Astyanax mexicanus: one gene and its partners. The protein of the gene in region 1 binds, or shares a complex with, the protein of each later gene. Links are inferred from orthologs where the notes say so. Each region holds a gene or a part of one and is shown in the gene's direction. Other genes may lie near its edges. The genes, in order: actr3, arpc1b and arpc3.

Evidence for each region.
Region 2: actr3 (region 1) and arpc1b share a complex: the UniProt entries of both Homo sapiens proteins name them as parts of the arp2/3 complex. The link is inferred for Astyanax mexicanus from reciprocal best matches to the Homo sapiens genes ACTR3 and ARPC1B.
Region 3: the proteins of actr3 (region 1) and arpc3 are in contact, whole or in part, in a cryo-EM structure (PDB 6YW6), measured with the Homo sapiens proteins. The link is inferred for Astyanax mexicanus from reciprocal best matches to the Homo sapiens genes ACTR3 and ARPC3. Residues at the interface, in NP_005712.1 of Homo sapiens: Phe203, Gln206, Asp210, Arg211, Glu212, Leu238, Val239, Phe242, Asn243, Ile253, Asp270, Gly272, Tyr273, Glu286, Phe287, Pro290; in NP_001265485.1 of Homo sapiens: Tyr47, Tyr48, Lys50, Ala51, Phe54, Phe55, Lys56, Lys158, Trp159, Thr161, Cys162, Phe163, Val164, Lys165, Arg166.

Annotation. Positions count from the first base shown.
Region 1 is NC_064418.1:35,511,486-35,523,202, reverse strand, and holds the start of actr3 (actin-related protein 3), read left to right. Parts: upstream 1-6,679; 5' UTR 6,680-6,833; coding exon 6,834-6,877; intron 6,878-11,717. Other genes in the region: solute carrier family 35 member F5, read right to left, coding at 892-954, 3,083-3,232, 3,834-3,939, 4,098-4,111. UniProt on the Homo sapiens protein: ATP-binding component of the Arp2/3 complex, a multiprotein complex that mediates actin polymerization upon stimulation by nucleation-promoting factor (NPF).
Region 2 is NC_064410.1:54,827,884-54,838,712, forward strand, and holds the start of arpc1b (actin-related protein 2/3 complex subunit 1B), read left to right. Parts: upstream 1-6,044; 5' UTR 6,045-6,199; intron 6,200-7,618; 5' UTR 7,619-7,629; coding exon 7,630-7,693; intron 7,694-10,829. Other genes in the region: arpc1a (actin-related protein 2/3 complex subunit 1A), read left to right, coding at 135-357, 467-574, 1,604-1,816, 1,928-2,003, 2,097-2,290, 4,864-4,954, 5,167-5,205. UniProt on the Homo sapiens protein: Component of the Arp2/3 complex, a multiprotein complex that mediates actin polymerization upon stimulation by nucleation-promoting factor (NPF).
Region 3 is NC_064424.1:45,964,226-45,975,278, forward strand, and holds arpc3 (actin-related protein 2/3 complex subunit 3), read left to right. Parts: upstream 1-5,689; 5' UTR 5,690-5,834; coding exon 5,835-5,840; intron 5,841-6,374; coding exon 6,375-6,474; intron 6,475-6,649; coding exon 6,650-6,726; intron 6,727-7,592; coding exon 7,593-7,661; intron 7,662-8,380; coding exon 8,381-8,507; intron 8,508-8,944; coding exon 8,945-9,039; intron 9,040-9,994; coding exon 9,995-10,057; 3' UTR 10,058-10,303; downstream 10,304-11,053. Other genes in the region: gpn3 (GPN-loop GTPase 3), read left to right, coding at 757-804, 1,537-1,645, 1,903-2,070, 2,384-2,508, 3,458-3,573, 3,667-3,763, 4,040-4,168, 4,407-4,472. UniProt on the Homo sapiens protein: Component of the Arp2/3 complex, a multiprotein complex that mediates actin polymerization upon stimulation by nucleation-promoting factor (NPF).

The DNA of each region.
Region 1 (11,717 bases):
ATTATTAAAATTTCTGATGCATTATTGATATGTGGCATCAAATATAGATCTTTTTATTTAAAAATAAGCGCTCTGAACTCCCTAAGACTTGCCCCTTAATAGAGTTACTACTGTTAAGCTGCATCGCAACTCAACATAAAAATAAGATAAACCTTCAACGAAGAATATTGATTAAAGAAATTCTGTGAATCTGGCACCAATAAAATCATAATTCCAGGTATTTGCTTATTTAGGAGTATTTTATCCTCTTCAGTAACACAGAAGCCGTAAAGTATCATAGAGAATTGTCTTGCGATATATAGAGATCATTACTGCAGCCAAACCATCGTGAGATGACCCGAGATCCCCCATCTCTGATGCTAATTACTGTAAAACTGATCTTGGAAAATATTTTAAGAATTTTTGCAAACACTTCACACATGCACAAACACAGCACGTAAAGGACAGTGTCCATGCAGATTAGACAATAACAAAGTCCTATTATTGCCTCAATAAACCCACTGCCCTTGCAAATGCAGCTGCAGTCTCCACAAACATGCCTAATGTGCTCAAATTTTACTATTTAATATGCTTAAGAAGTTTATCAATCCTAGTTAAGAAGAAAATGTAAATCTACCACATCTCAAACGCCCAGTGGCAAATGCTAAAAAAAGAAAAAAAAATCACAATTATCGGCACTCTGCTTTGATAAGGGTGGATGTGATGAGAGTTGTGGGGTTTTTTTTAATTGTGCAGACCCTAATCAACTTCCTGTATTGTGTCTTGGAAACAACATCTTACAGTTCCCTTTAGCTGGCTGTAATCAAGCAGCGCAATCAAGCTCAAAGTGGTTAAATTGTTCTTTTGTGTACAAAGCATACGGTACGTGCTTCAGTGTGACAGTATACTCACTAAAGAGTTGTTAAAGCTGTTTTCAGTTGCACCAGCAGACACATAAGAACCAGCATCAGGAATCTGGAAAAGAAAAAAATGCATTAAACCATACCAGAATACTAAGATTTAAATAATATTTTAAAATTAGATTGTATTATAACAACACTGCTATTTCAACAGTGGTCAGTGTAGACTGTTAAGGACAGTGATGACAGTGACTGATAACAAGGTTGTGAGTTCTATACCCAGATCTACCACACCTTTAATGCTGGGCCCTTGGGCAAGTCCCTTAACTCTGGCCCTCTCATCTGATATTGCAATGTGGTTTGAGCAACTTACTATCAAGAACAGAGTTCTTGATCACTGTGTGTATGTTTCTTTAGGGTGTATGTGTGTGTTTACTGCACAGATGGTAAAAAGACTGCCACATTCCCAGAACAAGTACCGTATTTTTCGTACTATAAGGCGCAAGTAAAATACTCTAATTTTCCCAGAAAATATCAGTGCGCCTTATAATCCGGTGCTCCTTATGTAGGAATTTTACAAGTCAGGTTGTAAGGAGCAGTAAAGCCACTCTACTGAAGCGCAGCTTTATATAGGAGTTTTAGCTTAGTTTTCCAGCAGTATTAGCGGTACCCGCTAAGCGCTAGCCATTCGGCCATTCAGAGGTGAGTATTATAGGCCTGTAGTCTGCTTTTAACCCCGGCTAGCACTGCTGGAGCAGCATTAGCCTTACAAGATATCTGTGCTAGCCATTTGGTCGTTCAGAGGTGAGTATTATCGGCGTGTGGCCTGCGCGTTTACCATGTTAAAACAAGCTACGTGGGATGAACCGCTAGCTAATATCACCCTGGCTTTCCAGAACACTCAGGCATCCTCAGTGTAGCGCTGGCGGGCGGCAGTTAGATGGCATTAGTTGTAAGCCACTAATGCTAATGCTCCAGCCTTAGTGGAAATCTGGAAATTTTAGCTTACTGTAAATAAATCTAAGCATTTTACTCACCCAAATAAACAGTTTTCAGGAGTGAAATCTGTGTAGATTAATATCCAGCTCTCGTTTGACTTGTCTGACTTACAGTTTTGTTTTATTGTTGTCTATAATCTGGTGCGCCTTGTGTATGAAAATAGACCAGAAAATAGACGTTTATTGATAGTGCGCCTTATAATCTGGTGCACCTTATAGTATAGTGAAGTCTTTGTTTCTGGGAGGCACAGTGGCTTAGTGGTTAGCAGTTTTGTGCGTTTTTCGTGAACGTTGAACTGAACGCAACACATTTGTTAATAAAGAACTTGAACGTGAATTAGTTCACTTTATGTTTCATGAACGGCAGACATCCCTGTAAATAAACGTTGGAATTTGTTTTCCATTGAAAACTGAGTGACATCTGTTTTCTCTTTTGAAACGCAACAAGAGAAAGTTCCTCCCTCCTGTATTCTCGCTGGAGGAGCAAGTGCGCGAGAGAGAGAGCGAGAGAGAGAGAGTGACAGACCAATGACGAGAGTGAGAGAAAGCGCTGCAATTTGAAAAACAATGGCTAGTGGAAGTGATGGGATGGAGACAGACACCGATTCTCCTTATGAACACTTAAAACACTTTGTACTGCTGTTTCATCACCTGGTAAGAAACCCACAATTGCAGTGTCATGAGCAAATGTCTACAATGAGCAGTTTCAAAGAACGTATAGTGATTTCTAGCTTGTAGTGTGAAAAAAAAAGCATTTATTTGAATATCTCACAAAAAAAGTAAAATGAACTCAACTTTGAACTAGTTCAGAATTCAAATCGTGAACTTTGAACGTGAACTGTTCACTTTGAGCATGTATGAACTGAACTGGAACTAGTTCAGAAAAGCTGTGAATTGGAACAACACTGGTGGTTAGCACGTTTGCCTTCCAGCGCTGGGGTCCTGGGTTCAAGTCCCATCAGTCACCTTGTCTGCGTGGGTTTTCGAACGGTTTCCTCCCACAGTCCAAAAAAACATATAAGCAAGTAATTTATTTTTGCTGAGATATTTCCAAGATGTGTTGCCCAGTGCTTATCCTGCTTCTGTTTACAGTGGAAATTGACCCACAGTTTAGACATTAGGAAAAATATCCACATTTTTTTAACCAGCCTACCAATGGATGTCACAAACCTTTACCATGTAAGGATTACTTATATTAAAAATACAAACTATCAAAAGCAAGACAAAGTTATCTGGAGAACTCACGAGGCTGCTGAGCTGCTGCTGATAACGAGCTGCACACTGCTGCCTCCATGGTTTCCAGAAGAGGAATCCAAGTAAATACAACACGAACATGGAGGTCTTCACAAAGGTGCTGAAGAACGGCTTACTGTACTGCTTCTGCACAAAGATGTACTGAAACACACAAACAAACACAACCCACGTAAGGAAGTCATGTATTTCATCCATTTTGTTTTCCAGAACTCAAGCCAGTGAGTTTATCTTTAATTCTGATACATACTTATAAAATATGTTCTTACTACCTCAACCCTTTTAAAAATTAAACAAAGCACACTTTGAAAAGACAGCCCTATCTGAAGTGTACATAACACACTCTTAGCTCTTACAGTCTGAACAAATGTCAAGGACTAAAATCCTTTGCATATCTGAATCCTTTAGAAAGGAAAGCTTTTTACTTTTCATCTTTTTCTCACCACTTATAAATTACAATACATTAGATGTCTTAAGCTGGTGAAAGATGATTGGGCGATGAATAGAAAAGGGCAAGGTTATAACATCACAGCCATTATGAATTTAAAAGGGACTGCTTCTGTAGGTCAACTTTCATAAATGTATGGCCTGGGGAACGAAGAGCAGGTTTAAAGCATTTAGTTTTAATATGGACCATTTAACAATAATAATACTAAAAGGGAAAAGAAGTATAGAGCATAGCACATTATACAAGCATATTATGTGTAAATGTGTGTAAAAAATGTGTACTGTATGTAGATCTTACTGCAGTGAGTTCAGATGACGCAACCCAGATCACATCCACAAGCAGCAGGATGACCACGCCCAGCACCAGCCTCCTCTTCTGGGCACCACATACCCCCCAACTCATCCTACACATACACGCAAGCAATGGAGGTAATGCGTTATTTACATCTGGCTTATATGTATGCATTGCAAACAGTGTATGTGGGTAAGTGTTCTGCAATGCAAATATTTAGCACAAAACCAGCAACACATCCAACCCTATTGGTTGAGTGAAGGTCCTTACCGTGCCGGACGCATTAGAAACGGACACACCGGTCTCGGCCAGCCTCTCTCTCCACGATGTGGCACAAAGCCTGCATCACACAATCACTAAAAGCCAGAGCAAAGACCTTAGAACAGTAAAATAAATAAGTTATAATGTAAATAACCAAACAGACAGTCGTTTGCAGTTATTATTAATGACCATGCTACCAATGAATCGTGTCCATTTAAATCATGATTTCAATTAAAAAACGATTAATCGTTCAGCCCTACTGGCAGAGTTTGTTTGCTAACGCTAACGAGTAAGCAAAACAAGCTAATACACGCTTGTCTAGCACTCTCCTGCCTGGAGAGAAATTTGAGAACAGCACTTTATGGGTCTTTTTATCCAAGTAAAATATAAAAACAACAGAAAACAGCAATTATTCACTTAGGAAAAATATCCTTTTAAATATATTTATAATATAGCTTGAAGGATAATATTAATGCACACTGAATTTAATTTTTAACTGAAAAAAGAAGAGAATTGTGGTTTTTTAATACTGTAAAGTCTCTAATGGCTTCATTAATAACATATTGTAAATTGATGTTTAACTTGTGTTTTACTTGTGCAATAGAGAAATGTTTTTTTAATACCTTAAACTTAAAAGGTATTTTAGGTCAATTCACAGTGTTTTGTAAAAGAAAGGTGATTTTATGGGACAAAGTAAAACCAATAGTAATCAAAGACTTAATGTTTGATATTAGATATACTCCTAACAGTACATCAAGTCACAAACCAATATAAAAGCCCAGTCATGCCAAAACAATAAATAAATAAAATAATAATAATACTGTGATATACCATGAAAGCGACAGAACCTTAAAAAATACAGTGATAGACATTTTGGTCATACCGCCCCACACTAATTAAAAGAAAAAATACAATAAAGCAAATAATAAACTTACCAAATATAAAAATACTCACTAAAATGCTGTTACATTTACAACAAGAATACAACAAAATCACAGCACTATATAATATAGATATTATTCACAAACAAGAACATTACTTATCTACAGTAAGGAGATATGATAAAAATGCTAAATGAACAGTAATGCAATTATAAAGCTGTGCTACAGTAAAATGACTGTGAATGTAGACAGTAAAGTGCAGGGTTATTTCTGAGCTCTGGTGGCAGTTGGGGAAGAACGAGTTCTTTAACCTGTTGGTCTTTATTTTAGACTTCTTGACAGAGTAGTGAACAGAGGCTTGTGACATTGAGACTATGATACATTTTAATTTATAATTTTACCTAAATATCATTACACTCAGCTCTGTTTAGGAAAAAATCAGCTGTGTTTTGATAAGCAGCGCAGCGGTCAGTCAGTCAGAGAGGTACAGAGAGCAGAAAGCAGACTGGAGCTCTTGGTAATTCGGCTCCTCGGTTAATCTAGCTAATGTTAGTGTTAGCTATTAAACACTACATGTAGGTTATATGTAGACATTTAGCTACAGTACCTGCTTCAGTCGGCACGGCCTCGAAACCCGTCTTCATGCGTTTATCAGGCGAGGTTACGAACAATCTGCGGCTTTGTAAAGGATAATAACTCGACTGGGTGGTAAATATTTACATGAGTTTTATGAGCTCGGTCTCCTACTCATGACTTCACTTAGCGCATCAGCATCATGGTAAATGTAGTTCCTAGTTCTGGTACTCTGTCCTGTAGCTTACGTACTAAAACTTCATCTCCCAGAATGCAAAACAGGCGGAGCAACTATTTGCAAGTTTGGCGTGACACTTTTCGGTCGATTCACCATCTGATAAATATAACCTTATATCTCCACTCTTATAAGGAACAATTTACTTTATTTACTGCAGTTCATCTAACAATGATCTAACAGTAATGATTCTGCATTCCTACGAAATTAGGTGGACTTATAGGATATGCCAAAAATACAATACAATACAATAAAAAAATTGCCTGAGGTAAATTATTAAGTAAGCCAATGAATATGTGTGAAGAAACTATAAATATGTGTGGTGTGAGTTTTATGAGATTTTGTATTCTACTTTATATATAATAACGCATTTTAGAACCATTTTTACAAAGAGATTTTTCATGTAAGCTGCATCAAACATTATTATTATTCGAACTTCCTGAAAACTAATTGGAACTCCTTTTCAAAAAGATTCGAATCTTTTAAACGGATCATAGATTCAAACTGCTTTTTTATCGAATCTTTCAGAAAACTGGATTTAGACAACTTTTTAAAGAATTACATTTTTTCTGAAAATTGATTCGAATTACTTTTCAAAAAGATTGTAATCTTTCTCCTTAAAACTGATTTGCAAAAAGATTTTAGTTACTTTAACGAGTGTTAAACGTGAACTCAGATCTGTTATTTGACTGTTGGCACCTTATTTCTGTCTGTACAATGTTTGAATTGTGTCTGTTATGGTTTTATCTTGGAATAAAAGGAGAATTTATACTAAAAACACATTTTTAAGGTTTGAGCCATAGACGTAGACAGACAATCTATGGTTTGAGCTGACACTCGCCCCTCTGTCTGCCTGTAGGCGTCAATGCGCATGCGCCCTCCGTCCCCCCTCCTCACCGGCGACGGCCATTTTCTCTCCGCTGAGTGCCGACCGAGTGCGGAAGTGGCTGAAAACTTAAGGGTTCCGCCTTTAGATTGGCCGCTGACCACACTGTGCTGCTCTTCTGGAGGCAGAAAGCTTTAATACCGGCTTCTAAAACAGCGCAGAGCGGAGAAATGGCTGGGAGGCTGCCGGCGTGCGTTGTGGATTGCGGCACAGGGTGAGTTTTCCAGCCGATTCCACAGTGGCAGTAGCAGCAGCAGCAGCTCTGGGTGTGTGGATGTGGATGTGCTCTGTTAGATCTATTATCTTCCAGTAGAAACCCGCTAATATACGAGCCTGTGGTCGCTTTTCCTGTAGACACGCAGCTCTGCTTTTGTCCACAGTGGACGGGGTGTCAGAACAGCTCTGCTGCTGGGGTGGATGAGGAGCCTGGGTTTGGGTGGTGGCTGTGTGCAATGCTAGGTTAGCTAACGTTATGAAGCCTGGAATGGGCTTTCACTGGCGAGATGTGTAGCTACATATCATCAAAACGCTTCATTCCAGCTCATGTTGAACATGCACACATGTTTACAGACTGCGACAGTAAGCGCAGTGTGCGGGTTTCCAGGTTTTATCAGGTCAGGATTCTCCTAAAAACCCACATTGCCTGATAAATTCTGCAAAACTCATTCTGAGTGGCGCCGCGCATGCGCAGTCCAACTTCCTAATTTTACTGACAGTCAGAGCCGCTTCCTGCTTCTCGCTTTTTGCTCCATATATGGTCGTGTTTGACGTTTGGACGGGATTTTAGTTAGGTTAGCTGTGTTTTATTCTGTCCTGCGGCAACAGACCGTGTTTAACCAATGGTAAAAGGGTCGGTTTTGTGTTTGTAGTTTGTAGTGGTGTTTCTGAAACTGAACTTTGCGCTTGGTTTTGGATGCTGCTTCTCCTCAGCACTGAAGCTAACCTAGATAACAAACCCAGCTAACGGCTAATTCTATCAAATATACAGCAGCACCAACCCCAGCCTTGTTATACCCAGCATATATAGCATTGTTATAGTATTTAGCTGCAATATAGCTACCTGACAATAACACAACCACATTTTATACCTCCACCTTATACTGCTCTGACATACTCAGCACTAAAATAATATCACAATATCTCAGGATATTGCTGTGATAACAAGAGTGACTGTTTGCAAGTTTAGCATGACTGTAGAGAGTGAAGAAAAACATTTATATGTCCAAAACTATGTTTAATTAAAATGTCTTTTTAAAAGGATATAATTGCTTTGTCATGCAATTGTACACTGTCTGGCCAAAAAAAAGTCTGCACCTGGATTTAACTAAGCAAATGAATGAGGTCAGCTGACTACCTAAATATATTGAATATAGAGCAGGTTATTCCATCAATGGATTTTTTCTTTCCTGATTGCACGAGCATATTCCAAGATGACAATGTCAGGATTGAGCTGGAATTGTAAAAGAGTGGTTCCGGGAGTATAAGATCAGCATTTTTACACATGCATTGTTCACCACAGAGTCCAGACCTTAACCTCAATGAAATATTAGTGTGTGAGCTTTTTTTCAGCCAGGCAGTGTAATATCACAGTATCTTAGGATATTTTTGCGGTAACAAAAATTACTGTTTGCAAATGTGTCATAACTGCAGTAGCTGGAAAAAAGTATATATTTACCAAACTGTGTTTAATTAAAATGTTGTATTTAAAGGGTATAATTGATTTTTTTTTCATTATGTAACTGGTCTTAAAATGGCAATAATATAGTTTATTAAAATAATTTTGTGACAATATATCATCCACAAAAATTATCATGGAAGGCCTATCCCTAGTTGAGATTTTCAACAGATTGTAACAATAAGTAAGTCAATCATCTAACATGTCAAGATACTAATAATGCACTCCATATACCCAGGATTGAAGTAAAATTAATGATACTGTACAGATATGCTCTGTCTCTAGTCAATATTTCATGGGAAATGAGAACAGTGTTATTAAGGTCTAACCGTTACACGACCTTATTATATTATTACACCTTATAACCAGCATTAACACTCTTTTATCACTTAATTTTATTTTAATACCGCTTATACACTCTATACCTGTTGTACCCTTAATATTAATTAAACCAAACTCTTAACTGCATAGTCATCCTTTATACTACTATAACTGCTGTTTTTCTCAGCACTAAATAAACAGCATTGTTTAGCAATAGTTTTATACCTCAGTCTTATTTTCCCCAGACATACTATGCCCCACACTAATAAAGATTTTGTACCACCTGTGATTATACTTTCATGTTTATTAAACTCAACATTAACAGCAGACACAACCCTATTATATGTAGACTTATAGCTTTTCTCTCCATATTATGCTATAACTGCATTATACTCTACATTTATACATCATTTACTCAGTACTCAGTACTCAGCAGTAGTACATGGTGTATAGCCATATTATTCTATTAAGCCATCATCATTTACTCAGTACTCAGTACTCAGCAGTAGTACATGGTGTATAGCCATATTATTCTATTAAGCCATATACTCAGCATAAGCGTATGCATAGAGATTATACAGCCTTATTGTCCTGCTCAGCCTTATACTGAGCTTATAAAACCGTATTATCCTGTCCAGTCTTATTATTCTCAGCACTAACAAGGATCGTTCGCAGAGTTTGTATTTGTTAAACAGTATATGATTGCTGTCTTGCAAATCCTTGTATTTCCAAAATAGCAACTTCACAGGAGAATTTTTTTTTTTCATTTTTAATTAAAGTAAAATTAAATTGTTTTATTCCAAGTAATTTTGGACCATTTTATTGCTCTGTCAATATTATTGTCAGTATTGTTCATTTGAAGCTACCACTTTTAAACTATGCCAAATACAGAAACAAATATGAGCTTTTGGCGCAACAGCAGCAATATTAAAACGCATCCTTATATATTTAGTGACAGTACTTGGCTCTGCTTGACTTCAGCTGTTGCTAAAGGGCCTCTTTCTTTCCCCTTTTCCTTCACCTCATCTCCCTTTTTGCACAATATAGATTTTATCTGTTCTCTGTAAAGTTGTTGATGCATATATACTTTTATACTGAACTTGGTATGTGGTGAAGGCTGTTCCCTCTGAAGTGTCAACATGTTGAGACTTGAACATTCCTCACTGCATACCTTTCCCTCCACCCCCTTCGCTTTGAGCCATTACAAGCATCTGTTCAGAGAATGGATGGGGAAGAGTAGGCTGTTTCTGTAGCACAGATGTGTGTGTGTGTTTTTTTTGTGTGTGTGTGTGTGTGTGTGTGTGTTTGTGTTTGTGTGTGTGTGTGTGTGTGTGTGTGTGTGTGTGTGTGTGTGTGTGTGTGTGTGTGTGTGTGTGTTTATGTGTGTGTGTGTGTGTGTTTGTGTGTAACCCAGTCTGAGATGTGTGAAAGCCTCACATCCTCTCTCTGACCTGAACTTCTCTGCATGGTCTGCACCACTGCTTTTTATAACTCATAACGCAATGGAGAAATTTGACCAGCATCAAATCCTCGTCATGTTGAGGCTGCTTCTGCTTCTGCTTCTGCTTCCCTCTTCAACTCTTGTTCTGAAGAGTCAGGGCTGGAGTAATGTTTGCTTTTAGTATTTTTAGTTTCCTGACAGTGCACAATTTTACAGATGTGCTGTAGTCGAAGTGTGGTGGTCACTTCCTTAGATAAATAGACTTATGTAGAGCTAAGATTTTTGGTCCAGTTCTGATCTAAAGCATGAATATTTTATTACACTTAAACAAACATTTTAGTGCAGCTTTCCATCCATTCCAGTCCAAAGCTAGTTTATTTTAACCTAAGAAAATGTTATCTTGACTGCTCAATCTTTTGAAAACTGACCTGCTCTGTTCACTGGGTGCTCTGTAGTTTGGTCTTTTAGATGCAAATGCTTTATAATGACAGGGGAAATATATACCTCACATCATTTGCCTGGACTTAAGATTGACCAGGAAACCAGCAAGGCCTTGTTCCTGTAAGGTGTGTTGTAGCTTATCAGGTGTGGTTGCTTGTTTTGGATTCAGGCCAGTCTGAAATCAGAGCTAAAGCATGCCTGTCCACAAAGACTCACTTTAATGCTGGAAATATAAGTGGTGTTCTCAGATTTGAGGTACTGAATGAAATATGCTTTACAATAAAGCCTAACTGGACTTTGTATTGTTTTTGACTGACTGAGATGTTTAGATTTAAGTTTAGGCTAAGTCATCTAGCTCTATTAGCTAGGTGTTATTGTATCCTGATGAACTTGGTAACAGTAAGCTTTACTAAGATTTGATGGGGTATGTTAGATTAATGATATATTTTTTGTTTAATACCTTTTGATAGTTTTGAAAATCTGAGCATCCTCGGACTGTGTTCCATTTAATTCAGTGTCGTGTGTCAAATCTGGGAATTATGTCGCACCCAAATTAACAGAATTACAGTTAAACATTCAGATAATTTCCAAGAAATAGTTAGTTAAAGACTTTGAGGTTTATCCTCACTGGTTGTACAGTCTTTTTGTCTTTTCTTTTTGTTGAATCCAGTAAAAATACCTGTTGATAACAACCCATTACACTGTATTTTGCACATCCAAACAATGTTAAAACATGTTCACAGATAGAAGTGGGACAGGTATGTTGGTACAACTGATAAAGTAGCACACAAATAGATTAGAAGTGCTATTAAACTCTATGAAACTTCTGCTTTAATTACTGTTGGTAGGAATGTTTCAAAATCTTCTATGGAAAAAAGTCTTTATGGAAATCTATATGGATATTATATGGATGCCTAATATGAATGAATTCAGTAAAAATCTTGACTCCAAACCGATTGAATTTGCATGTTTGACTGTAGCATGAAGATAAGGAGGATGAAATTGGTTCAGTAGCTCTTTGTTGGGCAGTGGCCTGTACGGTTTGAAGCTGAAGAGCCTGCTCTGCTCACTGTGATTGGTCGGCTATAATACACCAGAAATAGGTCTCTTACAGCTACAGAACATCCTCTTGCTGTGTGTTATTAGCAGAATGTCCTAGATGAGCATTAGTGTGTA
Region 2 (10,829 bases), on another chromosome or scaffold:
ATATGCAAAAATAGAAGAAATTAGGAAGGTGATATTTTTTTTTTTACAGCACTGTAGTGTGTCCCATCATTACATTTGACAAAACATGACCCTAGACTTGATGTGAGCTCATCATTGTTGCACAACTGTTTTAGGCATTGACTGGGCTCCTAAAAGCGATCGGATTGTAACCTGCGGAGCGGATCGCAATGCTTACGTGTGGAGCCAGAAGGACGGCGTTTGGAAGCCCACTCTTGTCATCCTCAGGATCAACCGTGCTGCCACGTTTGTGAAGTGGTCTCCACTGGAGAATAAGTTTGCAGTGGGCAGTGGAGCTCGCCTCATATCTGTTTGCTACTTTGAGTCTGAAAATGACTGGTGAGTCTGAATTGGAGCTTCTAGTGAACGTTTTAGGAGCCTTCAGTTTAAAACAGATCACATTGCAGCTGTTCTGTGCATAAATATGCTTTCTATGTTTTTTAAAAAGGTGGGTTAGCAAACACATCAAGAAGCCTATCCGCTCCACTGTCCTCAGTCTTGACTGGCATCCAAACAATGTACTTCTGGCAGCTGGGTCATGTGACTTTAAATGCAGGTAAGTTTGAGTCTCACGGTTACCTGGAATTTTCATTGAGAGTCCGCTATTCCCGTTATGGGCACGTGACTACTCGCAATCATATCACTCCTGTGTAAAGTCTAGGTTCTCCTTATAGCTTCACAGAAAAAAAAGAAAAAAAAAAGTATTATAAGCAGAGACCTTATTAGTGAGGATGTATGAATGGGATTTCTTGTAATGCTAAAAATTGCTCCTGTTTATGGAAAAAGTCTTGCCCTTAACAAAAAGAGCCAATCAGCTGCTTCTTGTGTGTAGACTGTAGGAGTGTCAGCATGCTGGTAGGAAAGCCCCTGTCCCGTCCCCCCATTCAAACAGACATAAGTGCCCGGCCAAGTGAACTGACATTTTTATAACAACTTTTTAAGAAGTTTTAGAGTATGTCAAATAATAAAAAAGTGGCATAATCAGAGATACAAGGTTTTTGTGTTGCCCCAGCGCTCACTGAGGGTTCAGTGTTTTCTGATTCTTTGTCCTGTAAAGCTGCTTTATGACATCAGTTGTAAAATGTGCTATACAAATAAATTTGATTTTGATTTGTTACAGTGACAATAACAATATTTGTTTTACTCTATATTTCCAAATGGTTGTGGACACTCCTTTAAAAAATGTTAGTTACACCAATTGCTGATACAGATGTACAAATGCACACTGTGTGTTTAGTCCCTGTAGAGAAGCCAACAGAATAAGACTGTCTGGAGCAAATAAACACAAAGCTATTGGTACCATGTCAAATGCCACACATGGACTAAAGGTTATCCAATCAGGTGGTGATCATCCATCGTCCTATAATCTAAGAGAAACATCCCCAGAAAATTAGAGACAGTTACTTCATCAAAAACTGCATAAAGTCTTTTAATACCTTTTGATTTCGAACAAAACCATGAAAGATCTTTGGCATCTATTTCAGACAATGCCATGTTTATTTGAACAGGCTGCTGTTGCTTTTCAGAACAGTGATGGACTTTTGTCTGTGTCCTTATAGTCATGTGACATCTATCTCTTTCGCAGGGTATTTTCTGCATACATCAAGGAGGTGGATGAAAAGCCAGCTCCAACTCCATGGGGGTCCAAGATGCCGTTTGGGCAGGTGATGGCAGAGTTTGGTGGGGCAGGCAGTGGAGGATGGGTCCACAGTGTCTGTTTCTCTGCCAGTGGGAACAGACTGGCCTGGGTCAGCCATGACAGCACTGTGACTGTGGTGGACCCCACAAAAAGCTCAACGTGAGAATCTTAATATGATTGCATTTTTTTATGTTTTCAGAAAACATTGTGTGTTTTCAGATTTGTTTTGTTGGCCCTTTTTTCTGAAAGACTGCTTCCTTTTGTTTGCAGGCCAAGCCCACTGAAAACAGAATTCCTTGCTCTTCTGAGCGTCACCTTCGTTTCTGAGAACAACATTGTGGCAGCGGTAAGGGCAGGTTACAGTTTACAGCACAGGTTCAGGTTTTATTGTCATTTTTGTCTCAGGATTCAGTTTTAAAGTGGTGTTTTTCCTCTGAAGGGTCATGACTGCTGCCCAATGCTGTTCAGCTTTGATGATGGTGGAACCTTGACCTTCATATCCAAGTTGGACATTCCAAAGCAGAGCATCCAGCGCAACATCTCTGCCATGGAGCGCTTCCGCAACATGGACAAGAGAGCCACCACTGAGGACCGCAATAGCACTCTGGAAACCCTTCACCAGAACAGCATCACGTAAGTCTCATGCCCTGGTCGTGGTCCTGAATAGTGTTTGGACACTGGCTTCAGATTAGGCCTGTAGAATATTGACAGAACTAACAGTTTTTCCACTGCAATCACTGCAGTCACAGATCCAACATGTCATGAAATTGGTAATTAGGACTGGATATCGAAATTTGATACCATAAAGACACAGTGGTCCAAAATGTCTCGGTACTACAGAGTACCAAAAGGTCCAAAAAAATTTGGTGCCTGTTTTCGATACTTTGCATTAAACCTGCATAAACGCGCACAGAAACACAGTCTCTTGCTTGACCTCTTGTGCGCCGTCTCTCTTTCTCTCTAGCTCATTCACGTTGTCTCTCTCTCATTTTCATTCGCTTTGTCTCTCACGCAGTCCTCCCCTCTACCCTGAGATATTATAATACAATAAAAAATGATCTAGTCTGCCAAACCTAAACCACACTACACTATTTTAGCTGTTCCCTCACAATAATACAGGGAACTAGCATGAAACTTGATATTTAATTTTTAAGTGATTGACACCACTCTAATAAAAATAATTTAGTTTTGCCAATCTAATGCAGATATTTTTTTAAAAGAACTGAAATGCATCCAGTATTATGCTTAGTGAAAATATTTGTAGTAACGCTGTTGTTTTGGTTCTTAATAAAGCGCCACAAACAACCAACAAGATCCAAAATTATGGTAGTCTCTCACAGTGATAGTTTAAACATGTTTTGTGAGAATAATTATCGCTTTTTGTATATATTTTTTTTAGTTACAATTAAAAAAAGATATCGAAAAAAGTATTGTTTGGGTATCTGTACCAGATTTAAAGTATTGTATCAGTATCAGTACTGAACATTTTTAAACGATAACCAGCCCTATTGGTAATGCACTTTGTGTAGCCATGTAAGCTAAAGGAAGCAGCTCTAACCTGTGGAGTTTTCCTAGAATTGGTAAATGTCTGCACAATTTAGAAATATAATGTCCCATCCATCTGGCACTCACTGCCGATCTCACTCAAACTGATGTTTTACGTTGCCTTTCCAGTGTACTGCTCTCCCATGACTTCTAGCATGCCAATGTATAATCAACCTATAGTAGATATGGCCTGGATATTTCCATTTTATACCAACTGCCAAAAAGGTTGTAGTGTGGTGTGTTTGCCTTTGCCTAATGTGTAGGGGTATAATGGTTACATGTGTTCTTTATGAATTATCAGTAGAGGGGTCATGGTTTGTGCAGTTGCAGAGGAGAATACACTGTACACACCGTTTATACCAATGTGTGATAACCAATGAACACAGTGAGTTATTTGCACGAGAAAACTTTAGCTGATTTGTACTGACAAAATTCTTTAAACTTTGAACTTAAGTTTTGTTTAAATATAAATTATATTAAATTATAACACTCCTCTCATTGCAAAACGTTTTATATTGTATTCAATTTTGTATTTTATAACAGTAAACATAAAATGTGTATTTCAGGTTAGATAAGAATACGACCACTGTGACTGTTTACATTTCGCTGTTTAAATGCAGTATAGACTGTATTGCTCACCATATTTTTCAGACTTTAAGGCGCACTATCAGTGAACGTCTATTTTCTGGTGTATTTTTGGATTATAAAGCGCTTTATGCAGCACTAGTAAGGATCATGGGTTCTAATTCAGCAGGTCTCACTGCAGGTGGGGGTAGTTAACTAAGTTAAGTAGAGCAAAGCAAAGTAAACACAACTGTAATTCTTAAAAATAAAAAAGGATGTTAATCTACACAGATTTATCTTCTGAAAACTAGGCAAGAAATGCACTTCCATTTATTTACAGTAGGCTTAGATTTGCAGATTTCCACTAGGTTAGCCGCAGTTAGCGCTAGTAAATGCTGCCGACAGCGCTACACTGAGGAATCCTGAGTGTTCTGGTAAGCCGCGGCTAATGCTGCTCCAGCAGTGCTAGTCGGGGTTAGCAGTAAGCTACAGGCCGATAATACTCCCCTCTGAACAGTAAAAAAGATAGCACTTATTACGGTTAGGGGCTAATGCTAATACTGCTCCAGTTTCGGTGCTGGAGAACTAAACTGAAACTCCTGTATAACGCTGTACTAAAATTCATACATAAGGTGCACCAGATTATATGACGCACTGACTATTTTTGGAAAAATTAAAGGATTTTGGGTGCACCTTATAGTGCAAAAAATTCGATACCTCAAGGGAAATATATAAAAGTACCTGGAGCATACTGGAAGTTGCACAATTACTGTTTATTTTTGCCTCTACTTTTCGTAGCAGAATCGCACCAAATTGTGGAATTTTGTGTACTGTTACATTTCTACTTAAGTGATCTTGAACATCCTGCTGTGTGACTACTACTCAAACATCACATGCTGAAAAAAATATATATATCACATGTACAACTCCACTTCAGATGTTGTGGCAGTTGGCATTTGATTTTATTTGACTGAGGATAAGATAACAAATAAGTTGGTTATGTTTAAATTCATGGAGGGGTTTACATTATTTTTCTCAGTGTTTTGATATAAATTTGTTCTGATCTGTAAGTAATCTCCTTTGCCTTTCCTCTGCAGCCAAGTGTCTATATATGAAGGAGACAAAAGAGATTGTCGCAAATTCTGCACTACAGGAATCGATGGAGCAATGACCATATGGGACTTTAAGGTTTGCCTTTTTGTTTGTTGTGCTTTTGTTGGCATCTCTTTTTTTTTGTTGTTTGTTTGCTCGTTTGTTTTTTTAGAATAGAACAATCTTTGTTTTCCTTGCAGTCATTTCTCAATCTTGCGTAAGAAACATGCTCTGAGCTCAACAGCTCACTGTATTTGATCTTCTTCTCATTTTTCTTCTTCTTCTTCTTCTTTTTTTTGTCTCCTCAGACTTTAGAGTCCTCTATTCAAGGCCTACGGATCATGTGAAAGACCTCACTCTGAACTAGCACGACGCAGCGCAGGCAATGCAGCTTGAAGACTAACAAGGAGATTTCTGATAACACTTCTGAAAGTTTTTAACTGAGAAAAAAAAAAGCACTGAACAGTGGTGTGAGCTGACGTGACACTCTTAAAAAGAAACAAATGAAAAAAAAAAATGGAAAAACACTAATGGAAAAGGGGGTTAGGGTCTTTTTTTTTGTTTTGTTTTTTTGGGGGCTTTTTTTTTTTTTTTTTTTTTTTTTTTTAATTCTATGCCAAAGCTGGTGCTCCAGCAGTCTGACATTTGATCTTGGTGTTCTGGGGAACCAGAGAGGCGTTAAATTAAAGGAGAATTTTATGTAAATGGTCTGCTAGAAATAAATGAAGTATACTACACACCATTTGGGAATGTAGTGTCTTGTCTCGTTCTGTGTGACTTGTTGTTATTATTAATTTAATGAATGCATTTAATGCTCGCGTTCGGGATGTTTGGTATTGCTGTTGAATGTTGCACAACTTTTTGGGATATTTGATTAACTGCAGCCTCAATTCATGCCAAACACTCACCCATCCACAGCGAATAGAAGGTTTGCTAGTTGGTTTAGTGTTCACATTGCACATTCTGGACTCACTGTGTTTGTACAGGCAGCACACACACACCGGCAGATGAAGGATCGCGAGAGTAGCTTATGTTATACATGCCTCTGAGCAGGATGTTGAAAGGAGTTGAACAGAGAAGGCTGGCCCCGTTTGCAGACAGCCGCCCACACGAGGAAGTGGTTAAGTGTCTCAAACAGGAAGGGGGAAGAACACTTCTTTTTCTTTTTTTTTTTTCTTTTTTTTTTACGTATATAAAAGGTCTAAGGAAATAGTTGAGTTCATTGAGAGCCGAGCCAGCGTTTGTGTTGACTGCTCAGAGTCCACGAACTCAGGCTGCTTCTGTTCCACCTCTTCCTATCTGCTAGATCTCAGGGAAACTTCCCGTTTAACCATTTCCAGGGTGAGTAGATGAACAGATTTTTCTGTTTATGTGAAGCGTAGTGCAGGCTTTCAGCTAGCTGCTGCAGGGCGTGTTCTGCTCTATATATGTATATATATATATATATATATGTGTGTGTGTGTGTGTGTGTGTGTGTGTGTGTATGCAGAGCTTCAAGTGTTGCGAAACTAACATGTACTAACATGTTATTACTACTATTACGCCTTTGCATAACAATGTCATAACTGTTCCCAGATATACAGCTATAAATAGAGGTTTTGAGGAGGAAACTGTTGTTTCTTATGAACTGTTGAGAAGACTTTAGAAGGCGTAAGAGGCTCTTTAGAGCAGGGAGGGAGCTCTGAATGGAAAGTCTGAGATGAAAAGGTGTTGAATGTGTTTTTCTCCTGCAGTTGTCATCCGGCTGTCTGACCTCACGTCACATTCCTTTCTGCTCTGCTTTTAATTTACTGCAAAAGAGAGAGAGAAAGAGGGGAAAAAGAGGAAGTTTAGTTCCAAAGGCCGGCTGGGAGCGTTTTAGACTAAATCTAAATTTGAGCTAGACATGAAAGAATGTGTTTATTTTATTAGGGGTGGGCGATATGGCCCCAAAATAATATCATGATATTTCAGGGCTATTTTTGCATTAACGATATTCTTGGCAATAAACTTTTTGCTGTTTTTATTGTATAAAGACAAGTTTCAAACAATCAGTAGAAACAGAAAAAAATCTGTAAATCTGTGCCGAATTTTTAGTGCATGCATATTAACTGCAAACAAACACAATTATACTCTTAAAAAGTAAAAAGCTTAAAGCTCCACTGTAAATACAAAAAAAACCATACTGATTACAAGATCAAATATTGCTTTAATCATTATATACTGTTCTTTTTTATTAACTAATTTAATCATAAATTAAATAAATTATAACATTTTATACTGTGTAATACAATATGGCACACCCCTAGTTCACATGTAGATCAAACACAATGGAGTTGACTACATAAGGAAGTTCAGAAAGTTCTCCTTTTAGAGCCGCTGCTTCTTGTTCTCATTTCTGCGGAAGTGAAGAAGCGTGGCCTCACTTTTTGATTTTTTTTTTCTTTTTGTAAATTTAACACAGATATAACTAATTAGCAGGTGTTCTCACCAAGATCAAAGTAGATGTTTTTTTTGTGCAATAAAAATATACCAGAAATGTTCAAATGTATGAAGAATTTGAGACTTTAGATGACACATGCTTCCATCCATCAAAACCTCTAAAAGCTATAATATGCTGAAAAGTTCTCCCAAAATCCATGTGTGGACTGAATTATAGATAATAAATAAAAAAGTATTTAGATATGGTTACTTGGATGTGCTCTTTTAAACATTTGAGCAGATGCTAAAGGTTTGAAGGTGTTCAGTTTGTTCTTATCTGCTGCTGTATCTGATCTGCAGAGACCTGAACCATGGCTTACCACAGCTTTCTACTGGAACCCATCAGCTGCCACGCCTGGAACAAGGACCGAACCCGTGAGTTCTGCTGCTCTTGTGTAGAGCATCTTCCAGAGTTCTGAAGGCCTTTAAACATCTCAAAATCACAAAGATGTCCACCCTAGCATGAGAGGGGGGCTATACTATACTGAAATACTATCACAATATTTCAGTGTTTCAATGTTGTAATAAGATATTCTTGGTGATGGGACTAAAAACATATTTTATTAATTTAAAAAATATTTTACTGCAACAAAATAATGGTGGTTTCATTGAGTATTAATATAAAAGTTTCATAGATTCAGTATAAAACAAAAACATTACATTTTTGTCATTTTTTTTATCAGATACAGCATGATAATACTGTAATAATAATATTTAACAGCAGATAATAAGTAACAAACAAACATGTAATAATGTTTAACAGCAGATATATATATATATATATATTTTAAATGTAATAATAATGTTTAACAGCAGATAATATTTGTAAAAATCTGTATTGTTTAACAGTAGGTATTTTTTTAGTAATAATATATAACAGAAGGTTATATTTTTTAATAAATAAAAATGTATAACAGCAAATAATAACAAAAAATCTGTAATAATAATGTTTAACAGCAGATATGTTTTAAAATCTGTAATAATAATGTATAACAGCAGACAATAATGTAACAAAAAACCTGTAATAACGTTTAACAGCAGATAATATTTTTTTTTTAAATCTGTAATAATAATATTTAAAAGCAGATAATATTTTTAAAAACCTGTAATAATTTGTATCAGCACATAATATTTTTTTTTAATCTGTAATAATAATAATGTTGAACAGCAGATAATATTTTTTTAAATCTGTTATAATGTTGTAATTATTATAATTATAAATATTATTACAATCTGTAATAATAATAATGAATGACAGAAGGTGAAAATTTAGCTAAATATTTTTTTAATAATAATGTATGACAGCAGATAATATTGTAGCACTAATTATATAATAATAATGTATAACAGCCGATGGAAATATGGCACACTCCTGCACAGAACATGGATTATAGGCAGGCCTGTGTTGGTGCAGATGCTGGAACATGTGGTTGCTACATTAGGCTGGAGCGTCTGGTCCCAGGCCAGGTATCTGCAGGTATTTCCGCAGGACTCGCAGCAGGAGGCGGCTGCTGGGTTTTCATAAGCTTCTCTGATTTATGGACTCACTCTTTAAAGCTTAATGTTCACTGGGAATGTTCACATTTGTAATGTAGATGTATGTAGTCGCTCCAAACAGACAAACAGACACTAGGCTGGCTGTCCTTGTTTTGGCTCTGCAGAAGAACAAGGACGGGTTTGTTGGTGTGTTTTTTTTTTCTACTACTTTTTGGAGATCACACGCTCAGAAAGAACATTTTTGGTGTTTTTTTTTCTCTGAAGGTTCCTGAATGCATTTGAGTGGCTCAGTAAACAGGGAGAAGAATGGGTATTTTCTCCCCTGATGTTCAGATTAAATTAGTTCATATTTAATTCCCTGTTTCAAGTCTAGGATCATTGATAACATCCATATTGGCCATTGTGTTTTTTTGCATGTTTGTTTATGTAAGAAAGAATGTCACCAGTATTTTCAATACTTACAATAGCTTGAAAGATAAGCATAAATGTTATCGGTTGGCTTCTAATAACAATTATGTTGTAGCGTCACCAAGATTGGAGTAAAAAGGCCAGACCATAGTCATATTGAGCAAAATATATTAAAATAAGATTAAAGCATGAGTGGCCAGTAAAAAAGCAGCAGTTTTCTTATAAAAATTGCAGAGCTCTTATCCACCTTCTACCAGAGGTGGAAAAAGTACTGAAAAAATGTAATTAAGTAAAAGTACCTTTTCTTTGCTAAAAAGTAGGAGCAGGATAGTTAGAAAGCTAGCTAGCCACTAAATCTTGCCAGTAATTCTCATAGAACTCTGTTTTAAGAGTGCATCTAAAAAAATCTTTGTTTGAAGGCCCATTTAGCTATAACTCTTCACCCTACCCCTCCAGCCTAACAAAAATCAGGACACCCCTACCCCTAGACGTTCACACACAAAACAAAGGGGTAGAGCTAAGTGGTAGAGCCAAGGGGTGAAATAGGATTGGGCCTAAACCTAGTCATAGAATATATTTTCCTTTCAGTGGAAAATCTCCATTTTAAAATAACAAAATTTAATCCCTATCATGGAAATAAAGGAATCCCATTCATATAGCTTGCCATCGGCTGCCGGAGCCCCGAGAGAGCACAATTGGCCTTGCTCTCTCTGAGTGGGTAGATGGCGCTCTTTTTCCACTCATCACTTGAAGATGATGTCCACAGCATGAGGCATCTGTGAGCTGATGTATCAGAAAAGAGTCGCTGTGCTTTCCTCCAAGCGCGCTGTGATGCTTCTTGGAAATGCTCAAAAATCAACAGCAGTTCAAAAAGAGGTGGTGGCTGACTTCACATGCATCAATGGAGGCATGTGCTAGTCTTCACCCTGCTGGTGTTGGGGTATTACTAGTGGTAGGGGGGGTCCTAATGAGTGAGTGGGGTAATTGTCCTTGTAAATTGGGGAGAAAATGGGATAAATAAATTAATAAAAGAAAGGAAAAGAAAATGCACATCACACAGGAAATGCTGCATCATCACAATCTTGAGTATGGGGTGAGTGCTCTTAAGCAAACCACCATTCAAGCCCTGAGAGCCCGTGTGTTGGTTTAATACACCGTTCTGCTGAGTCTGCCACTCTCAGGGAAACCACAGTCCACTGCCCTGCCAAGCACGCAACTTTTAAACTCAGATCAGGCTGTTTTTTTAATCTCCTTCCTGTGCTTTCAAACTCTGCCCAGCACAGCCAGAATCCAGCAGCTGGGACGGAGCGAAGACTGGGTTTAAACCACCATCAGGCCGAGAGAACGGGGTCTGGAACAGTCGCCCCTTTGTTTTTAGTTGAGCAGAAACTGATGAGAAATGGAGAAAAGGGCAGCGTGGTGTCTCTCTCTCTCTCTCTCTCTCTCAGTCGCCACCCTGCTCATTTTTTCTGCCCGGCTCTGATGAGAGAAGCAGTGATGACTAATCCCCCCACTTCCTGTTTTACCATGAATGGTGCTCTGTTGCTGATGTGGGAAGTCTTAAGCAGGCCGCTGGGTCTGAACAGCGAATCAGCTCGTCTGCACA
Region 3 (11,053 bases), on another chromosome or scaffold:
AGGTAACTTAATTAATAAATATATTTTGAATATCATATTAGGAATCACTGTTCATATTTCCATGCGTGAACCTTTATTATTCTTTTTTTTTTTTTCAAAATTTCAACATTTATATTCTGTTATATTATTCCCACATTTCTTTATTTTATTTATGTATTATTTATTTATGTACGTATTACTATATTTCTTTATTTATTCATTTCTGTATGTATCAATCAATATATATGTATTAAACAATAAATATATAGATAACAATAAATGCAGAAAAATACAGAAACAGACCCAAATAAAGTGGATGGAAAGTTAATGGAAACATGATATAGTTGATATCGTTTTAAGTGAGTGCTTTTTTCATAAAAATGTATTTATTCATGTATTTACTTGCCTATATATTTATTTATTTTATTTTATTTATATGTGCAATTATTTATTTACAATTATGTATTTTTGTGCACTGACTCGGCAGCGCTCTCTGGTGGGTATTCGAATCTAGAGAGATTGGCGATTCTCTGAACGCTGTAGTTTTTGATACTCTTCGCTTTCCGTAGTTCTGACTGGTCAGCAGGCAGCATGGAGGCAGTGGGAGATTAGTGGTGTGGTGTTTACAGTCAGAGATAGAGATATGAATACAGTTACAGAGATATTTCTGTGATTTCTCTCACTGTACTGTAATATAAATACTGTAATATATTCTGTAATAGTGGAGAACTGCGTTATTCAGAAGTTATAAAGCTGTTTATAGTAACTTAGTTAATAATGCCGCGCTACGCTCAGCTGGTGATGGGACCCGCCGGCAGCGGAAAGGTAAAACTATTAGATCAGAGTTTAATATAAAACTATCAAGCTAAATTAAAGCTGTTAAATCTGATTATACTGCTTTATTTTAGTGTTTTATACAAATCTATCCCTATTAACATACATTCAGTATTTTCTCTGGCTACCGTCACATCGCAGGAGTGTAAATAGGATACTAAATTAATATTTAGAGCTAGGAGTGGGCCCTAAAATAATATCACGATATTTCATGGTATTTTCGCGATAACGAAAGTCTTGGCGATATGACAAAACACTGAATAAAAAAAATATTATTATTGTATACAATATGATATTATATATGTTACCCCTAACTGAGATATTAAAAAATGTAATGTAATGTAATGTAAAAAAAAACACAAGAATTTTATCAGATTTGTAACAGAAGTCAATGATCCAAAATGTCATGATACTAATAATAATGCGTTCCAAATATCTCCATATATCCAGGATATATCCAGTAAAATAAATGATACAGAACAGATATAATCTGTCTCTAGTAGATATACTATTTATATATAATGTGAATAAATAAGATAAAACTCGAAATCACTTGAAAAGCTTAATGGATGACTGTAAATTAAGTACATTTTCACTTACAGACACTTACAGAAACATAAATAAGATTAATCCCATTTAAATAAACACAGAAAGAGAGTGGTTTTTGATTATTATTTGATTATGCTGCTCATTTTAATAGTGAACTACTCTGCTCCTCCACAGAGCACCTACTGCTCCACTATGATACAACATGCTGAAGCCATCAGCCGCTCTGTGCAGGTGGTGAATCTGGACCCGGCAGCAGAACACTTCGACTACCCAGTGATGGCAGGTAAGACTGGAGACAAATCGACCAGCAATAAATCCAGAAATACTCAGAATTGTACAAATGATTGTTTTTATTGTTAATGTTAATCCAGGTCAGTGGATGAGGAATATAACACAATGAAAATGATATTTGGTGCCACGTAACGATAAAAAACAATATGGTCAAAATGATGCGATATATTGATATATTGTCCCGCCCCTAATATTAAAAGACGGCTACAAAGAATCTTGTTGTTTTCTGTTGTTTTTGTAATGGTACAGATATCCGAGAGCTGATCCAGGTGGATGATGTGATGGAGGACGATTCGCTGAAGTTTGGGCCGAATGGAGGACTTGTGTTCTGTATGGAGTATTTTGCGAATAACTTCAACTGGCTGGAGGAGTGTCTTGGTCATGTTGAGGATGACTACATTCTTTTTGACTGTCCAGGTAATTCTGAAATTCATTGCCATTAATCCATTATTAAGATTATGGTAATGATAATTGTGAAATAAAATTGTGAGGAAATTCATTAATACAAAAAAGTGACTTTAATGGATGTTCTCGCCTAAAACTATTCTTATTTATGTCTAATTTGACCCCATTTTTACACAGTTCCTATCAGCTGGACCACTCAAAGCCCCTAGACTAAAACTATTAACTATTATCCATTCTTTTATTCTATTTGTGTTTTCATCAACATCTGTGTTCTCTTTAAATCCACATTATTTATTCCCATGTGTTTTTTCCTCTCTGGCTGCAGGTCAGATAGAGCTGTACACACACCTCCCGGTTATGAAGCAGTTGGCTGAGCAGCTGCAGCAGTGGGAGTTCCGGGTGTGTGGGGTCTTCCTGGTCGACTCTCAGTTTATGGTGGAAAGCTTCAAGGTAGGAAATTAATATTGTTTTTTGAAAAAATAAAATAACAATCAGGATTATTGCATTTTCAGCTCAAAAACACCCTAGAGCAGGGGTTCTCAAATGGTCCTTTATTTTTCTCCTGGTCATTAAGTTACAACCCACTTTAAATTCAAACCAAACTAATTAATAAAAATATAGCTTTCAAAAAGCAGTTTAAACATGCATATGCAAGCAAAGTGAATTTTCAGAGCACTTCAGAGCATTTAAGAAACTAAGGAGGTTCATAATAATTATATGTATAAAAGTTACTACTATTAGGTTAATATTAAAATTGCACGAAATAAATAATAAATAAATAAATAAATATTTCACTTCTCTGCATATCTCTGCATTGAGAGTATATAAAATACAAAAGAGTACAAAACCAGATGAACATAAATTATTTTTAATTTTAGATTTTTTTTTTATATATATTTACTTTTACAGTAAGCTTTTTATGACACGCCCAGAACGTGCCCACAGCCCACTTTTGGGTCCTGAACCACCAGTTAAGAATCACTGCTCTAGATTATCAGTTTCTAGCAGTTTTTTGTGATGTAAACTTCTGTATTGTCTTTAAAAGCAAAAGAAACACACTAATATTTTTCATATTTAGTCAAAACTCAAACTTTTTAAAACACTAAAATTTATTTTTTTTGTCCTTATGTATTTATATTTTTACTTATTTTAATCATTTCTTATTTCCCTATTATACCATTTTATAAATCCTTTTTAAAATGTATATGAATAATGTGAAATACTGGAAAAGGGAAAACGTAAAATTGTATTTGTATTGAATTACATTGTACTATGTAAAATAAATAAACAATAAGCCAAAAAAACATTACAATTTGGATGGTAACATATCTTAATGTGTGACTAAATAGATGTTATTTAGTTTAAAAAAAACACCCATCAGAAATGCTCTGTTTTCTAGTTTATTTCAGGTGTAATGGCGGCTCTGAGTGCCATGGTGGCGCTAGAAATCCCTCAGGTCAACATCATGACCAAAATGGACCTGCTCAATCCAAAAGCCAAGAAGGAAATAGAGAAGTAAGTTTCCCAAAGAGTGTCGGTCTGTATTTGACTGTATTCGTGTGTAAAATCTGTAATAAAACACAGATAAATATAATGTTTTTACTTCAGGTATCTGGATCCAGACATGTACTCCATGATGGAGGACAACTCTACAACCCTGAGGAGCAAAAAATTCAACAAACTCACTAAAGCTATCTGTGGTTTGGTAGGTTTACAATGATGCCTGTTTTTGTATTATATTTTATTAAACAATTAAATAGATTTTTATGGAACAGAATATTTTATTTTAATATGTACATTATAATATGTAAAGAGTTGTCTGTCATTGTATTTTGTTTTATTGAAACTATTTCTATTATTATATCTATTTTTATGTAATGCAATTGAGGAGGTAGGTAGGTCCCAAATTTTATATATTTTATATGTAAATATGACATAAAATACATTGTATTTTAAGAAACAGATTTGTGTTTGTGTACAGATTGATGACTACAGCATGGTGCGCTTCCTGCCCTTTGACCGCACAGATGAGGAAGGCATCAACATTGTTCTACAGCACATCGACTTCTCCATTCAGTATGGAGAGGACCTAGAGTTCAAGGAGCCGAAGGTAAACACGTTATTTAATTTGTCTTTTTAGTTTACCGTGTAGATTATCATGTGGTTGCCAGGTTCAGTAAAAAATATCCAGCCAAAATAAGTCTAAAACTTGCCCTTCAGAAGCCTAAAGTAGCCCAATATCTAAGGTTTAAATGCAGTTGATTTAAATACAAAGGCTTTAAAGGTGTATGATTATTTCCATTTATTTTTCATCATTATATTACTTAACAATTTCCCTTTTTCTTTAGGAGACTGAGGAGGAGCCTAGCAACACAAATTATGATGAATTCTTTCAAGACAAAGTGGATTACTAGACACTTCATCATAGAAATACAGCCTGTTTGACACATAACAAGACTAAAAGTCACAGAGATGCAGTGCTGATGAAACGGGCACTCAGCAGCAGGGTGCTGTGACCCTCCCAGCCTGGAAGTGAAGAGCACCGCTGCAGGACATGAGGAGGAAATGTCGGGCAGTCTGAAGAGTCTGAAGTTCCTCAAGAATCTAGTTTCTGTGCGTGTGGGTGTGTGTGCATGTTTTCAATACAGACTGCATAATTATTATTCTCCTAATTTTATTCTTCCTGTGTTTCCTGTCTGTTCCTACACTCTTTAAGTATGGGATGATGCATTCTTACATTCTTAGAGCTGTATAATAAATATTTTTTCAATAAAATATTTGTAAAAGTTTATTACATGTGTTCTGATGGTTGTTGATCTGAAAAATGTAATGTTTAAATACAAATTACATATACATAAATAGGTATGAATTACTACGACATGACAATGGCCATACTATATACAATTATGTATGATTATATAAATATATATATATATATATATCAGTATGTTTTTGTTTAATATGTGTTTGATGGTTTATAATGATCTACAAGTATGGCCAGTTTAATAGTGTGTGAATGAACATTTCATGTAAACTTTTTTCATGTTAAACTATTTAATATACCACAGTGGATCAACACCAGCAGATGACATGACTCTCAAAACCATCACTGATCATCAGTAAATTTTACATTTTATTTAAAAATCAAGGGAGCAGAGTCTGGAGGAAGAGTGGAGAGACACACAGTCCAAACTGCTCGAGGTCTAGAGTGAAGTTTCCACCAATCAGTGATGGTTTGGAGAGACATGTCTGTCATCTGCTGGTGTTGATCCACTGTGTTTTATTATCAAGTCTAAAGTCAGTGCAGTTTTGTTTTCCCACAAAATCTTACAGCACTTCATGCTTCCCTCGGCTGAAAACAGCTTTTATGGAGATGCAGATTTCATTTTCCAGCAGGACTTGGCACACTGCCTACACTGCCACAAGTTTTCATTGGCTGTAAGACATAATCATCACCAATAAAATAAATAATTTCATGCTTAAAATAGATCATCCTGTGTGTAATACTGTAAGACGTTTATGTAATATATGCGTTTCACATTTTAAACTGAATTACTGAAATAAAGTAATGATATTTTTAATAATATTATTTTTTTTTTAGATGCTCTAGTTTTAGTATAGTATATGCGGTTATCTGCCCCTAGTGGTCAGTATGGGAACTGCAGCCCAAGCTCTTCCTGTATAGCGGTTGGGTGGGACTCACAGCGGAAGCGGCGTTTTGCAGCGCTGACACTATCCATATTTTCCTCACCAAATCCCGCTTACCTATCAACAAAATGCCGGTAAGAAAATGTTTAAAGTCTCTTTTAATAGAACGTCATATTAAAACGGCTTTTAAACAGTATAATCTTCGTTTTCGGGTCTTTTTCTGAGCCACGGTAGCTGGAGCTGATGGTCAACCGAACGAAGCTAGCTGCACGGCTAGCAGCTTCCCGTCCCTCCTCAGACATTTTCAGAGAATTTTAGCTGGACTTTCTGATTTTAAAGCTGATTTTAACGTGTTCTGTTTGTTTAAAACACCTGCATGTGTTTTATGAGTCTTAGAGGTTTGCTGGTATCGCATATAAGCAGTTAATACACATTTTTTTTAGGGATTTAGGGAGCTAACCCCAGCTAACTAACTAATACATAGCTTTAGCTTAGCGAATGTATTGCATTGGTAATGTAACCCAGTGTAGTTTCAATACTGTAACGCTATAACTAGCTATAGCTAAGGCTGTTGGTATTTTTATTTGCTTTAAAAACACATTATTGCATATTTAATAGATTTAATACTAATTCCAACGGGTTTTCCTCTTTTTTTTTTGGATTATCAGGCTTACCACTCCAGTCTGATGGATGGCGACACCAAGCTGGTGGGGAATATGGCATTACTCCCTCTCAAAACACAGTTTAAAGGCCCGGCTCCAAAAGAAAGTGAGTTATTATTTTAGTAATAAATGTGTTTTTAAAAATACATATGCTGGCTGTGTCATGTGTCCAAGCCGTAGGGCTCCAGCATTACTTCCTTAAATGGTTGCGAACTGGCTGCACTACTAACTACATCACCATAGACTCAGATTCATCATCTTCCTGTTTTCTATTTTGACAGCCAAAGACCAAGATATCATCGATGAGGCTATTTATTACTTCAAAGCCAACGTTTTCTTCAAGAACTATGAAATTAAGGTACGTACTGCAAGCCTGCAATGTACTGCAATACCCAGGAAGTAGCTGAAGGACCCAGGACTGTAAAAAATGCACTCATGCCTCAACCTGCATTCTTCTAAGATCTGCCTCTGCAGCCACCTTCAGTTTAGCCTGCACTGGTGCTGTATTCGCATGCTTTTTGTACAAAAAAAAAAAAAAAAACACATAAGCAAATATGCAATCAGCTGTTCTTTACTACTTTACTACTCTACTTTACTATTTCATGGTATTTTCGCAATAACAATACTCTTGGCAATATGATAAAAAAACTGAATTAATATATATATATATATATATATATATATATATATATATATATATATATATATATATATATTTCAAGAATACACTTCTGCGGCAAAATTTTAATTCCATTCTATTATTGCATACGATAGAATATGACAAACCCCTACTATTCACTGATCACAGTATGGGAAAGTATCTGAGTAATGTTTTATTAATCTTTCACTACTGATGCTTTTTGAATGTAATTACATGTATCATAATAAATGCTGTGTATTGTTAAAAAAAAAAAGCAGACATGTTATTTGCAAGGCGCTATAGATGATTTTTTTCTTTAGTCCAGCTTTTTTTGTCCAGTCCAATATGGCAAAATATCCACGACACACACATATATTTACATTTACTGTTACATGTATGGTATATAGCTGAAACACACAATTTTAACTGGTACTGTAATTTATTATGGTAACAGTGAAATACAGTCATGCCTTCATATAATCACATGTAGGGTCGCTCTCTGTTTTGTACTCTTTTATGTATTGTATTGTAAGCACATACGTCTTTTCTAGCAGTAATTGTTTTATTTGCTTAATTTTTATTAGAATGAAGCTGACCGAACATTGATCTACGTCACCCTGTACATCTCTGAGTGCCTCAAGAAGCTACAGAAGGTGAGTGTGCCTGGAGTAATAATAATAATAATAATAATAACAATACAATTAAATTACACATACTCAGTTCCTATTGTACTTCCTGTAAACAATGGTTTCTCTTCAATACCATCCTGAAATGATAGTGGTACTTCTATACAGTGGAGATGGTTCTCACATTTCCATAAAAGCCCTATTAGGAAATGTAATGGACTACTTAAACGGCGATAGATAGGTGGGAAGTATTATATATTTTATTTTATCATTATTTTCTTATCGTAAGTACAAATATAAACTTTTCAAGCATATTGAGGATTTCTTCAGTGTTTAAAAGTTACTGGCCTAATTGTATATTTATAGATATATATTATAGAGAGCATAATTAGTCAAGAATAACTGGAAGTATTGCAGTAAATTGTACATAAATCTTAGTATGGGAAAATTGTCTTTAAAAATAGTGTTATTATATTTGTATCATGTCGCATAGCCCTACTATCAACTATTTGTTAGTATGGATACACACACACACACACACACACACACACACAGTGCAATGGACAAGTGCTTGCTTGGCTGAATCTTATCACAAAAACCCTCATCGTAATGCCAGGTGTAAACCGACTCCAGTAATACATGGGCACGTTATTATTGTTATATTGTTTGTGGCCTCATCATTTATGCTGTAAATTAAAGGGTTTACTGATACATGTAACAAATACATCCTTCTTTATGTCCTGCAGTGCAGCTCAAAGGGTCAGGGAGAGAAGGAGATGTACACGCTGGGAATCACCAACTTCCCCATCCCAGGAGAGCCTGGATTCCCTCTGAACGCCATGTACGTTAAACCCTCCAACAAACAGGAAGAAGGTACGAGATAACTGCTGCTTCAGTGAATGAATGAATGAATGAATGAAGTTACACTTAAATAACGCCTTTCTAGAAACCAATGACACTTTAGAATTTACACATTTTTACACACAACCCTTTATACTCAGCACTCATCCATACACCGGCGAGAAGCAGCAGCCAATAGAGCACAGCGTACTCTCAACCGGAAACCACAGTCCACCTGGAGGACTGCATCGGCCACTACAGCATTTTACAGCAGAGTCCATATCTAGGCACACAATTCCCTACAATACATATATAAATTAATTTAGAGTATTAAATGTTTCTATTTTTTATGTAACTATATCTGTTCTATCTGTCTATCTGCAGTATGAGTAATCAATTTGAAATGCCTTCATATCAGTGTCCGCTCCCTTTCTAATGTTGACCAAGTGATTGTTGATTGTTTTTATCAGAGACGATGAGGGCTTACCTGCAGCAAATTCGCCAGGAGACCGGCCTCAGACTGTGTGAGCGCGTGTTCGACCCACAGACAGACAAACCCAGCAAGGTAAGCATATATTGTTACACACACACACACACAGGTTTCAGGCTGGTAATCACAGTATTATAAATCAGTGGCTCTCAAGCTGTGATACACAAAGCATTTCAGGGTAGTACACCAGATTACTTCAGAAAATTAAATGAATTTACAAAAAATATTTAATAAAGTTTTTACATCTAAGGTTTGTTTGTGTTTAATGTTTAATCTGGTAGACCCTGTATGTAAGATAACACTTTTACACAGTTTTTTACAGTTTCATAGGCCTTACAATTGATCTCTGTGGAACTCCATTCACAATAGTCTCTATTAGTAATAACAGCAAAATAATTAGTCTGGGGTGGAGCCATGTAGACTCTGTAGTCCACTACATTCTCATGTTATTTCCCACTGTCTCAAGATTTCTCAGTAGGTATACTGCATTTACAATATACAATAATCAGTAATTTGCAGATTGGCTAAAGTGCCAATAAGTTTTTTGGTTTAATCATGGCGCAACATTGCTTTAAAAAGTTTGAGAACCACAGTTATAAATCATTTTTCTGAGCCATAAGAGAGCATTTAGTGTAAAAAATAATTCCAGATCTACAAACAATACAGCTAAACATAATTACAGTTTTACAGAGTTCAATTCCATCAGCAAGTCACCTGATTTACCATTACTAAGCTCTGATTTATGAAACCAAATGTTAATATGATGAGAACTATAAATAATACTCAGACTAAGAAACAAAAGTTTAAAAACACCACTTTTTTATTAATATTTTTTACATATATTCTAATAATGTTTTTAACATTACTAACAAGTACTGATCAGAAAAGCAGCTTTTTTTTTAAACTTATCTTTTTCACATTACTGGTAATTATATATTATATATATAGTTTTATTTTTTAATGTTATGCTTCCAGTGAAATATTAGATAGTACATTAATCACATGTTTAATGTCTCTGCTCTTTTCACAGTGGTGGGTGTGTTTTGTAAAGAAACAGTTCATGAACAAGAGTCTGTCTGCTCCTGGTCAGTAGGAGGCAGCTGGGATTTTCTCTTGGTACTTTTTACACGGCGTGGATGGATGTGATTGGATTATTTTTCCAGTGTCTGATGTTTTCCTTTATTTTTTGGGGGGAGGGCAGGGTTCCTTCCATTGGATCGATGTAAGATTAATTTTATACTGCAGATTTGCAAAATTCCAACATGTTTGATTTCCTTTCTGGAACCATACACCATGTATGCAAACTTGAGGCGATCAAATAAAATATTACAAAATAAAAGTTGTTTATTTTTCATTTATTCACAGAAATGCTACTTGCACATATTTGTCTTATTTTGGGCTGAAGGTGCTGAAGTTGACTGTACACTCGAATGATGTTATAGAAGACAACTTCAATAAAATAAAAATTGATTTTAACAAATTGAAAATCTCTGGAATATAATCAAGAGGAAGATGGATGATCACAAGCCATCAAACCACCAAACTGAACTGCTTGAATTTTTGCACCAGGAGTAAAGCAGCATAAAGTTATCCAAAAGCAGTGTGTAAGACTGGTGGAGGAGGACATGATGCCAAGATGCATGAAAAAGAAAACTGTGATTAAAAACTAACCAGGATTATTCCATGTTCATTTTACTCAAACATATACCTACAGATAGTAAAATCAGAGAAACCGAAGTGGTCTCAATTTTTCCAGAGCTACATATCTATATATTGTACAATAAGTTGATAATTACCTACAGCAATGGGACTAAATAATTACCCTAATTTAACAACTAAAAGGTGCGTCACAATACTTTGAGGAACGTTTGAGGAATTGCAGTGAAACAAGTCAAAACTGAAACTCATATTTAAGTGCAATTCTAACATGTAGCACCTTTTTAAGAGTTGCTTATTGCTGTTAATGGATTGCGTTTAGAGTTGTGTAGCTTCTGTAACCTTCCTTTAACAGGCATGAAGAGAACAAGAACAGTGTAAATGAGGAAAAACATAAGACAAACAAGAACACCCTAAAGGGTCAGAAATTCAC